2 linked regions of the Cricetulus griseus genome follow. The protein of the gene in region 1 binds, or shares a complex with, the protein of each later gene. Links are inferred from orthologs where the notes say so. Each region holds a gene or a part of one and is shown on either strand. Other genes may lie near its edges.

What was found.
Region 2: Dhx9 (region 1) and Igf2bp1 share a complex: the UniProt entries of both Homo sapiens proteins name them as parts of the coding region determinant (CRD)-mediated complex. The link is inferred for Cricetulus griseus from reciprocal best matches to the Homo sapiens genes DHX9 and IGF2BP1.

What each region holds. Positions count from the first base shown.
Region 1 is NC_048598.1:38,201,071-38,204,882, forward strand, and holds part of Dhx9 (ATP-dependent RNA helicase A), read left to right. Parts: intron 1-1,811; coding exon 1,812-1,968; intron 1,969-3,559; coding exon 3,560-3,660; intron 3,661-3,812. UniProt on the Homo sapiens protein: Multifunctional ATP-dependent nucleic acid helicase that unwinds DNA and RNA in a 3' to 5' direction and that plays important roles in many processes, such as DNA replication, transcriptional activation, post-transcriptional RNA regulation, mRNA translation and RNA-mediated gene silencing.
Region 2 is NC_048600.1:109,139,755-109,144,269, reverse strand, and holds the start of Igf2bp1 (insulin-like growth factor 2 mRNA-binding protein 1), read left to right. Parts: upstream 1-1,496; coding exon 1,497-1,671; intron 1,672-2,804; coding exon 2,805-2,865; intron 2,866-4,515. UniProt on the Homo sapiens protein: RNA-binding factor that recruits target transcripts to cytoplasmic protein-RNA complexes (mRNPs). This transcript 'caging' into mRNPs allows mRNA transport and transient storage.

The sequences.
Region 1 (3,812 bases):
TTAAGAGGATGATTTGTCTATGTCTAATTGAATAAATTGCTTTTCCTTGCTCTTTTCCTTTCATCTACTTCTGAATATTGTTAAGAGAACCTGTGAACCATCAGGTAATACTTTGTTTATGATGATCAGTAAGAATTTATGCAACTTAGTTTAGAGCTTAGTAGTGATTTATGACTTGAGTAGCTGGCTGGATATTAGGATTAGTTTTCCTTTGTATGTGATACTGTGCTTTTGGCAAAATGTTGGTGGGTATTGGTAGGTTATTTCAGATGCTAAAAATCATCATGGGAAACAGGAAAATGAAAATTTTATTTCTCACCTTTGCCTTGGGTGCTTGGCAAGTCAGTATAGTTTTATTATACAATTGTAGGAATTGAAGTTTGATATTGAAATACACAATTTTTAAAGATCCTATTGATACAAGAAAAAGTGTGTCCACATAGTTTGGTCATTCAAACTATCCCAAGTTGCTATTGGAATCTAGGAGTTACTCTTGGTTTTCTTTTTAAAACAGGGTCCTCAACATAGATTGGCCTCTGATTTTGAACAGTCCTGTTGCCTTAGCTTCCCTAGTCATTTATTAAAAGTATGAACAAGTACACCCAGATGTTTTAGTAGAGACTTAACTATAGTGTTGACATACTAGTGTTAAAGAGTTAAAATTAATGTCTGGAATAATACCATGGATAGTTATTCTACTTTAAAGGTGTTAAACCTCATCAGATAGGCAGTATATCATACAATAAGAAATATAGGATGAATACTTTGAAGGAGAATCCTGTATCTTTTACATGGAAAACTATACCCAGATTAGAATAAACATTGTTCTAGATGAAAACCTAAACGAGTTTAATGTCTAATAAAAAGACATGCAAGGCGTGAACATAGCATCAAAAAAGAAGTAGATAATTTTCATAAAGAAAAGACTAAATGTCATAGATACCAAATCTCTAAAGGGATTGGTCTTTTAAGTTCTGACAAATTGGTGGGAGTGTTTTTGCCTTAACATAACTTGTTTTGTTGGTTTTTCAAGACAGAATTTGTATGGCCTTGGCTATCTTTGAACTCTCTCTGTAGACCAGGATATGCATACCTATATAGCACTGTTAGAAGTATATGTGTCTTAATGTTGCTGGATATCAGCATTTAGCTAAATAGCCATTCCTAGCATTTCAGTTACTGACTTGGTTGTTTGTGGGAGCTATTTCATTCACTGACTCCATACCCACCCCTAGGATACCTCTGTTCAAATTCCTTTCCTCTAGAGTCTTTTGAGATAGGCATGACATAAAAAGTATGGTATATATACAAAGCCTACATAGGGAGGACCCATAAATATAATGGTGGGTGATATGGCAGGCAATTTAAACATTATAAAACTAAGTTGTGGCTGTTACTTTATTTGAACTGATTTTTACCATGTTTCTAGTGAAAGTTGTGCATTTTAAACTTTACCTAAAGGTTTTTTTTTCCCCTCTTAAGCATGCAAGTACACATACAGAAACAGGAAAAAGCTGGTCAGTTGCTGGAAGCCCTAAGTTTGGTTTCCCAGCAGTATATAACACTAGGGATGGTAGTACATGCTTATAATCCTAGGCTTTGGAATTGGGAGAAAGAGGAATCAAGTCTAAGGTCTATAAGGTATAGTGAAGTCAATGCTATACTAAGATCCTTAACCACCCTATCTCATTAAAAATTCACTGTAATCTTAAACTGGTGTGTGAAACAATTTTCACTAATGTCTTATGACTATTAGAAATCTTAAAGGTGTATTTTGCTACCCCTTACAATTATTGTTCTTATTTCAATAGACTGACTTCCTTCTGGTAGTACTTCGTGATGTGGTTCTGGCTTATCCTGAAGTCCGAATTGTTCTTATGTCTGCAACTATTGATACCACCATGTTCTGTGAATATTTCTTTAATTGCCCCATCATTGAAGTTTATGGAAGGACTTTCCCAGTTCAAGGTAAATTATGTGGATATGATGGGAAGGAAGCTATGCATTTTCTTAATTTTGGCGATCACAGTGATAGTTTAAAAGACTGAAAACATGCCAGTATTGCCTCACAACCATCTGCAACCCCAGGGGATCCTCTGTGGATTTCCTAGGATACCATATGAATACAGGCTTAAAAAACAGGCCATTGATTTCTATGCTTTTGATAAAACTTTGACTATTATAAGAACATCTTGATTTTATTGAAGTAGCATTGCACAGCCCAATTGAGGAAATTAAATTTGCTAAGAGAGTCGACAATATTGTGAAATGTATTTGTGTGAGATGAATAGCCATGCTATGCTACATTGTTTTAATTAAAAAATAAATGGTGGGCCCAGCACCCATCTAAGCCAAATACTGTGACATAATCTTATTGTTTCTCAGGCTATGGGTTTCAAAGTTCTAATAATTGATGTACTTCAATACTGAAGAACTTTATAAAGAGATTAGTAGATAGTAGAGGGTAGGAATTAAGTTTCTTACAGATTATACTGTTGTTTTGGGTTAGTCTATGATCAACATGGTAAGCATGGAAGCAGGCATGGCATTGGGACAGCAGCTGAGTTGATGATTTAAAATTTTGATTAATCGGCCAAGGGTGGTGCCTCACGCCTTTAATCCCAGCACTCGGGAGGCAGAGGCAGGTGGATCTCTGAGTTCAAGGACAGCCTCCAAAGCTACAGAGAAACTTGATCAAAAATTTTGATCAACCTAGAATATATGAATTTTATTGAAATAACTTATTGCACAGTCCAGGTAAGGAAACGCAACTAACCCTAAGAGACTTAACAGTGTGATGAAATCAATAGCTGCCATGCCACTAAATTTTTTTTAATCTCTCCTAATCTGGGCAAAAGGCAGAGATGGGCACAGTTTGAGCAGAAAGCTAATGATGGTACTAGATTAAGTTTAATGTTTAAATTACAAATATACACTGAATAGAAAAGTGGCAATTACAGATTTCATGCAGAAACCTTATAAATAGTATGTGTACGTGGATTTCCTTGCCAATAAAATTTGACTACTACTCAGAGTGGACTTGATAGTAATATTTGTTCCTAAAGAGTGGACTTCTAAGTGGCAGGGGAGTACAACTTAATAGTGAATAAAATTGGTGGACATTAATTTATGTACCTTTGGTTTGCAGTCTTGGGTGGTGGCTTTATGGTTGAAGATACAGAATAGAGATTATAGAGTCACTTCTTGGTGTTTTAGAATATTAGGCACAGCATTGATTAGTGATCTTCAGTCTTTGCATTAACATCCTCCTGGGAGAGGATGATGGTATACACAGATTCCATGAAAGTTTGGTTTTAAAAAGTTGTATAAAGGGGAAACCCCAGCTGTCTTTGTAAGAATTATCTCAAATCTTGCAGAGTTTGATGGAATCATAATGTACTTTCTGTTGTTGAAATTTAACTGTAGGAATTTCTTATACTTGTGAAGCCTCAAGTTGATGAGGATGAAAGTAGTTTCAACTGTGGATTAGCAAATGAATTTGCAGTTGTGACATTTTATAAATTATCACGTACTTAACTAATGTGACTGTCCCTGACAGAATATTTTCTGGAGGACTGCATTCAGATGACCCAATTCATTCCTCCTCCAAAGGACAAGAAGAAGAAAGATAAAGAAGAGGATGGTGGTGAAGATGATGATGTAAGTCGATTCCTCAGCACATCTACAGGAATGAGGAATGTTCATTGTGAGAATATTTGGAGAAGAAAATAAGTACTTTAAAGTATAGTATTAATTGGCAATGCATTGTCCTTTAAAAATTAATTGTGATATTCTTAGGTTAATGACTATTA
Region 2 (4,515 bases), on another chromosome or scaffold:
ACGGGAGGGGGAGAGAGAGCCGCAGCCCCCTCCCCCGCCTCTCGCTTCCTCGAGCGCCGAGCGGAAATTGCCCCCTCCCCGCTCGGGCTGACCTGGGGACGTGGGCGGGGCCTCGCGGTCCCCCCCCCCCCGGCGGCCTTCCAAAATCCAGCACCCCAAACTAAGTTCTGAGATCCAAGCCCGGCGCGGGGACCGCCGCTCTCGACATCTCGGGTGGAGCGGAAGCAGGCGACGCCACCTGTCCGCTCCTCCTTGCGCGGGGAGCCCGGGGGCCCTGGGGTCTCCACCGCGTCACCCCCTTCTGAAACCAACCCCCCTAGGTTCGCCGGCTCTCGGTGGAGCGAGCACCCCGCATCATCCTCTCCCACCCCGCTGGTCCTTCGGGAGTGACCTCAGCCGGGTCGCCGGCTCCCCCCCAGGAACGCTGGAGAGCTGTCATCCAGCAGCTGGACTGGGTGCGAGCCAGCTCTGCTCCGGCGGGGATCCCGAAACACCATTTGCCGCGGGTCCCTCGTTCCCAGGAGCTGTCCCGCGCGACCAGGGTCCCCCGGATCTGGACCCGGGAGGCCAGGGAAGTCTCCTGGGGGTGTGGAGGGGAAGACAGTGACGCCCTGCTTAGAAACGTAGAGGGAAGGCGTCTTCCCCCCTAACTAGCCGGTTCTTGCGATCCCCTCCTGAAGACCCCGGAGTCCTCGGCTTCTCTTTGTCTGTCTCGGCCGTCCCCCGCCTGTCAGTCGCTAGCAGTTTACCAGGGTGGGGTGGGCAACCCAGTCTCCACACAACGAATAAAAAAATGACCGAACGTTTCACTCCAAAGGACTGGGGAGATTTGGGTCGCCACCGCCCTCCCCCAGGGCAGGTCGCGGTGGCAAGAGGGGTGGGTGGGGGCGGGGCGCCGCCTCAGGGGCCAGGTTCTTGCAAAGGGGGAGGGGGCGAGGGGAGCTTCGGGGACTCCGTCTCCACCTTCCTGGCTAACCCCTGGGGTGCGCCGGGTGCCCCCCAAGACCGGAGACTGTTGGGTTGGTCCCGGTTGGACGGCCCAGGGGCCCGGTGGCGTCGGGGGTCTTTCCTTGCAGGGTGGGTGGGGGCTGTCACCACGTGGCTTCGCCTTTTTTTTTTTCCGCTCCATTTTTTTTTTTTTCCAAGTCGATTTTATTTAGAGGCGGCGCCAGGGCGGCCGCGGAGAAACGTGACACACCAGCCCGCTCGCAGGGGTTTCGGACCGAAGGGAAGGAGCTGCGCCGCGTCGTCCGCCTCCCTGCGCTCCGCGGGCACTTCTCCCGGGCCACCCCGAACTCTCCCGTGACCTCCGCGCGCCCTCAGGTCGCCCACCCGCCCGGAGCTCCGGACAACTTGAGGGGTGGGGCGCGTAGAAAGTTTGCAGCTCCCGCCGCCCGCCTCCGCGCCTCTCGGCCTAGGAGGCTCTCCGCTCGCCAGCCCGCCCGCCCGCCCGTTCGGCCTTGCCCGGGACCACGTCCTGCCCCGCCACCGCCACCATGAACAAGCTTTACATCGGCAACCTCAACGAGAGCGTGACCCCCGCAGACTTGGAGAAAGTGTTTGCGGAGCACAAGATCTCCTACAGCGGCCAGTTCTTGGTCAAATCCGGCTACGCCTTCGTGGACTGCCCCGACGAACACTGGGCGATGAAGGCCATCGAAACTTTCTCGGGTAAGAGCGCGGCCACCTCCCCGGGGGAAAAAAAAAAACAAAACCACACAACGAAATCCCAGAACAACGGAGACCCGCAGCTCCTCTTTTCTTGCCCGCCAACTCTTCCCGGGCCCGCGGGGCTCGGCCTCGGTAGCCTGCCTCGACCTACCTCCCTCGACGCCCCCTCCCCACGCGGGAATGGTCGGGGTTCCCTTCTCCCTTCCCCCAGCCCGGGACACGCGAGGCTCCTCGCCCCCCTCCCCACCGACGGGGCGGGAGCCCCCGTCGGCAACTGGTGGGGGTGGGGGTCTCCCGGGCCCCGGGTCTAGGCGTGGTCTCCCCGGTGCCCGCACCCCTCCGCTGGGAGGCCCCCCCTGCTGGAGCACCCCCACGCCCATGCTCTCCCTCCTAGGCCTTCCCAGGAGGGGTGCTCCTGCACCTCGGGTCTTCCCGCTCTCTTCCTGGGCACTCGCCCTGAGACAGGACGTGGGAGGAAGGGGCTCCCGCCTCCCGCCCAAGGCCTGGGGCTTGAGCCATTTTGATTTGAAAGTGGGGCGTGAGCCGGGTGGCGCGGCGGCGGCGCCGGGTCGCCATGCTGCTTCCCGAGACGCCGAGGCTGGGCCGAGAGGCGCGCGGTGGCCGCGAGGGACCCTCCCCACCCGGCCGCGCCGCGCCGCGCCCCCCGGGGCCCTCGGCTAGCCCTCCGGCCCCGACAGGTGACGCCTAGTCGCCTGAGCTCTTCTCCGAGGCTCGGCAGGAAAATAAAGTTTAATGCTCTACTCCCACCCCACTCGGAGAAACGGGGTGATCCTTTCCCCGGGCTCCTTCCTACTTCTGGGAGCCGCAGAAGCCGCGCGCTCACCACACAAACGCTCTCACACCTTTCCTAAATCTGGCTCTCGGAGCAGTCCCTGCAACTAGCCCACGTGATTAGTGGAAATTAAACGAAAATTTGAGAAAAACGAATTTACGGGTTCTACCATGCCTGGAGCAAGGTAGAACACCCCCCCGCCAAGGCTTAGGCAGCTTAGTGCCTAGATTCCTAAGACGCCCCTCAAACTCTTGAATTTAGCTAATGTTCCTTATCCTCCCTTCCTCCCCATCCCCCACTCTTGTTCCCTCATTCATTTTTTTTTTTTTTAAATCTTCAGGGAAAGTAGAGCTACAAGGAAAACGCCTAGAGATTGAACACTCGGTCCCCAAAAAACAAAGGTAGGAAAAGAACTCATTTGGGGGAACTGAGGAATATTAAGGGGGTCCAATCCATAGCGTCGTCTCCAGTGGAACAAACCCATTACTGGCCTTCCCAACTCCGGATGTTGGGGGCTGGGAAATAAGATTGGCCAAGATCTTGTAATGGGTGTTTTAGAGCTTTAAAAAAAAAAAAAACAACAACAACAACTTGGGATTGGGGTGGGCCAAAAGATGTTACTTTCAGAAACTAAAGAGAAAAAAATCAATTGGGGGAAGCCCTGTGGAGTTAGTTCAAAGTGAGGGACCATTTTTGTAGGGAAGCGTAGATATACAGAGTTCAAACTCATAGCGGGGGTGATTTCTTTAACTTCCCGCCAGGCTTCTTCTTTTTTTTTTTCTGTTTCTCTCATCCACATAATAATTTGAAAATGGATTTAGGGGAATCCCTTTCTCATTGGGGGTGAAATAATGAGCAATCCACCCCTATTAGAATCTGCTTATGCCGTATTAATTTCTGTTATAGGCATGGCTTTTGTTGCCCCCCTCACAGACCCTCATCCCCAGCCCCTCGCATCTTATATTGCCCCTTCAACTGGATTTTCAAAGAATATCCTTTGGCTGTACTATCCCTTTCCAGCCCCCCCACCCCCACTCCTTCAGCCCATTGTTACAAGGGACCATCTGGGGTGAGAGCTTTGTGCTCAGGCTGTGAGCTGGGGCTCTTTGGAGGGTCTAGAACTCCAGGGATGAATGGGTGTGTGTGTGTGTTCTCATCTGAGTTCTTTTTTCCCTGTATTCCATCTTTTCCATCAAAATGGGGTATCTCCATCTTGCTCCCCTAAAATTCAGGGTGCTTTGAATTCTGAAGTCTTCGGTTGAACTCTGACTGTGTAGCATAAGGGCAGTGTTTCTCACATCAGACTTTTTGAACATGTTGACAGTGCAGTTTTCTTTCCTGTCTTTAGCTGGAAGCAGTCCTCAGTACATTTTTGGTCCCCTCAACCCCTCTTTCAACTGGAAACTTCCTGAATTTCTGAACAGTTTTTGGCCTTTCCTAAGGTGGAAATGTGTGTGGGTGCTGTGCTTTTGGTGTGTGTGTGTGTGGGGGGGGTACTTTTAAAGAATCTAAAGTTTAGCTGGAGATAAACTGTTCTGTGGTTTGCCTTCAGATTTTAAAGTAACTGAATGATTGCCTCTATAGATGATCAATATTGTGTCTGTTTCTAGAGTATGTGATTTGTTGTCAGATGCTTGAGAAATTGGAAAGGTGATTAGAATTAGGAGCAAAGAGGCACTAAAATGAAAAGGAAAGAAAAGTCTTACTTTGAAAAAATTTGGGAGAGAATAACATAATTGAGGTCTATTTGAAGATTATGAATATTTAAATTCAAAACTCTTGATGGGGAATCTAATAACTGGAATTCTGAAATATGTGATCTTTCCCCTTCTGCTCTTGAGAATGGTTTAAAATTTAAAGCCGGAAGAAGGGATAAGAAAGAAATAGCAAAATGTGGTGAAATGGAACTCAAAACATTTATATTTTAATTTTCATGGTGCCCTGTATTTGTGGATCTTTCTCTTCAAGCCATCTGCTTGCTTTTATGGCATTTCTATCTAGGCTCTCTGTTCCCTCCAAAATGCATTACTAAGAGCTCTTTTGAGTTGGAA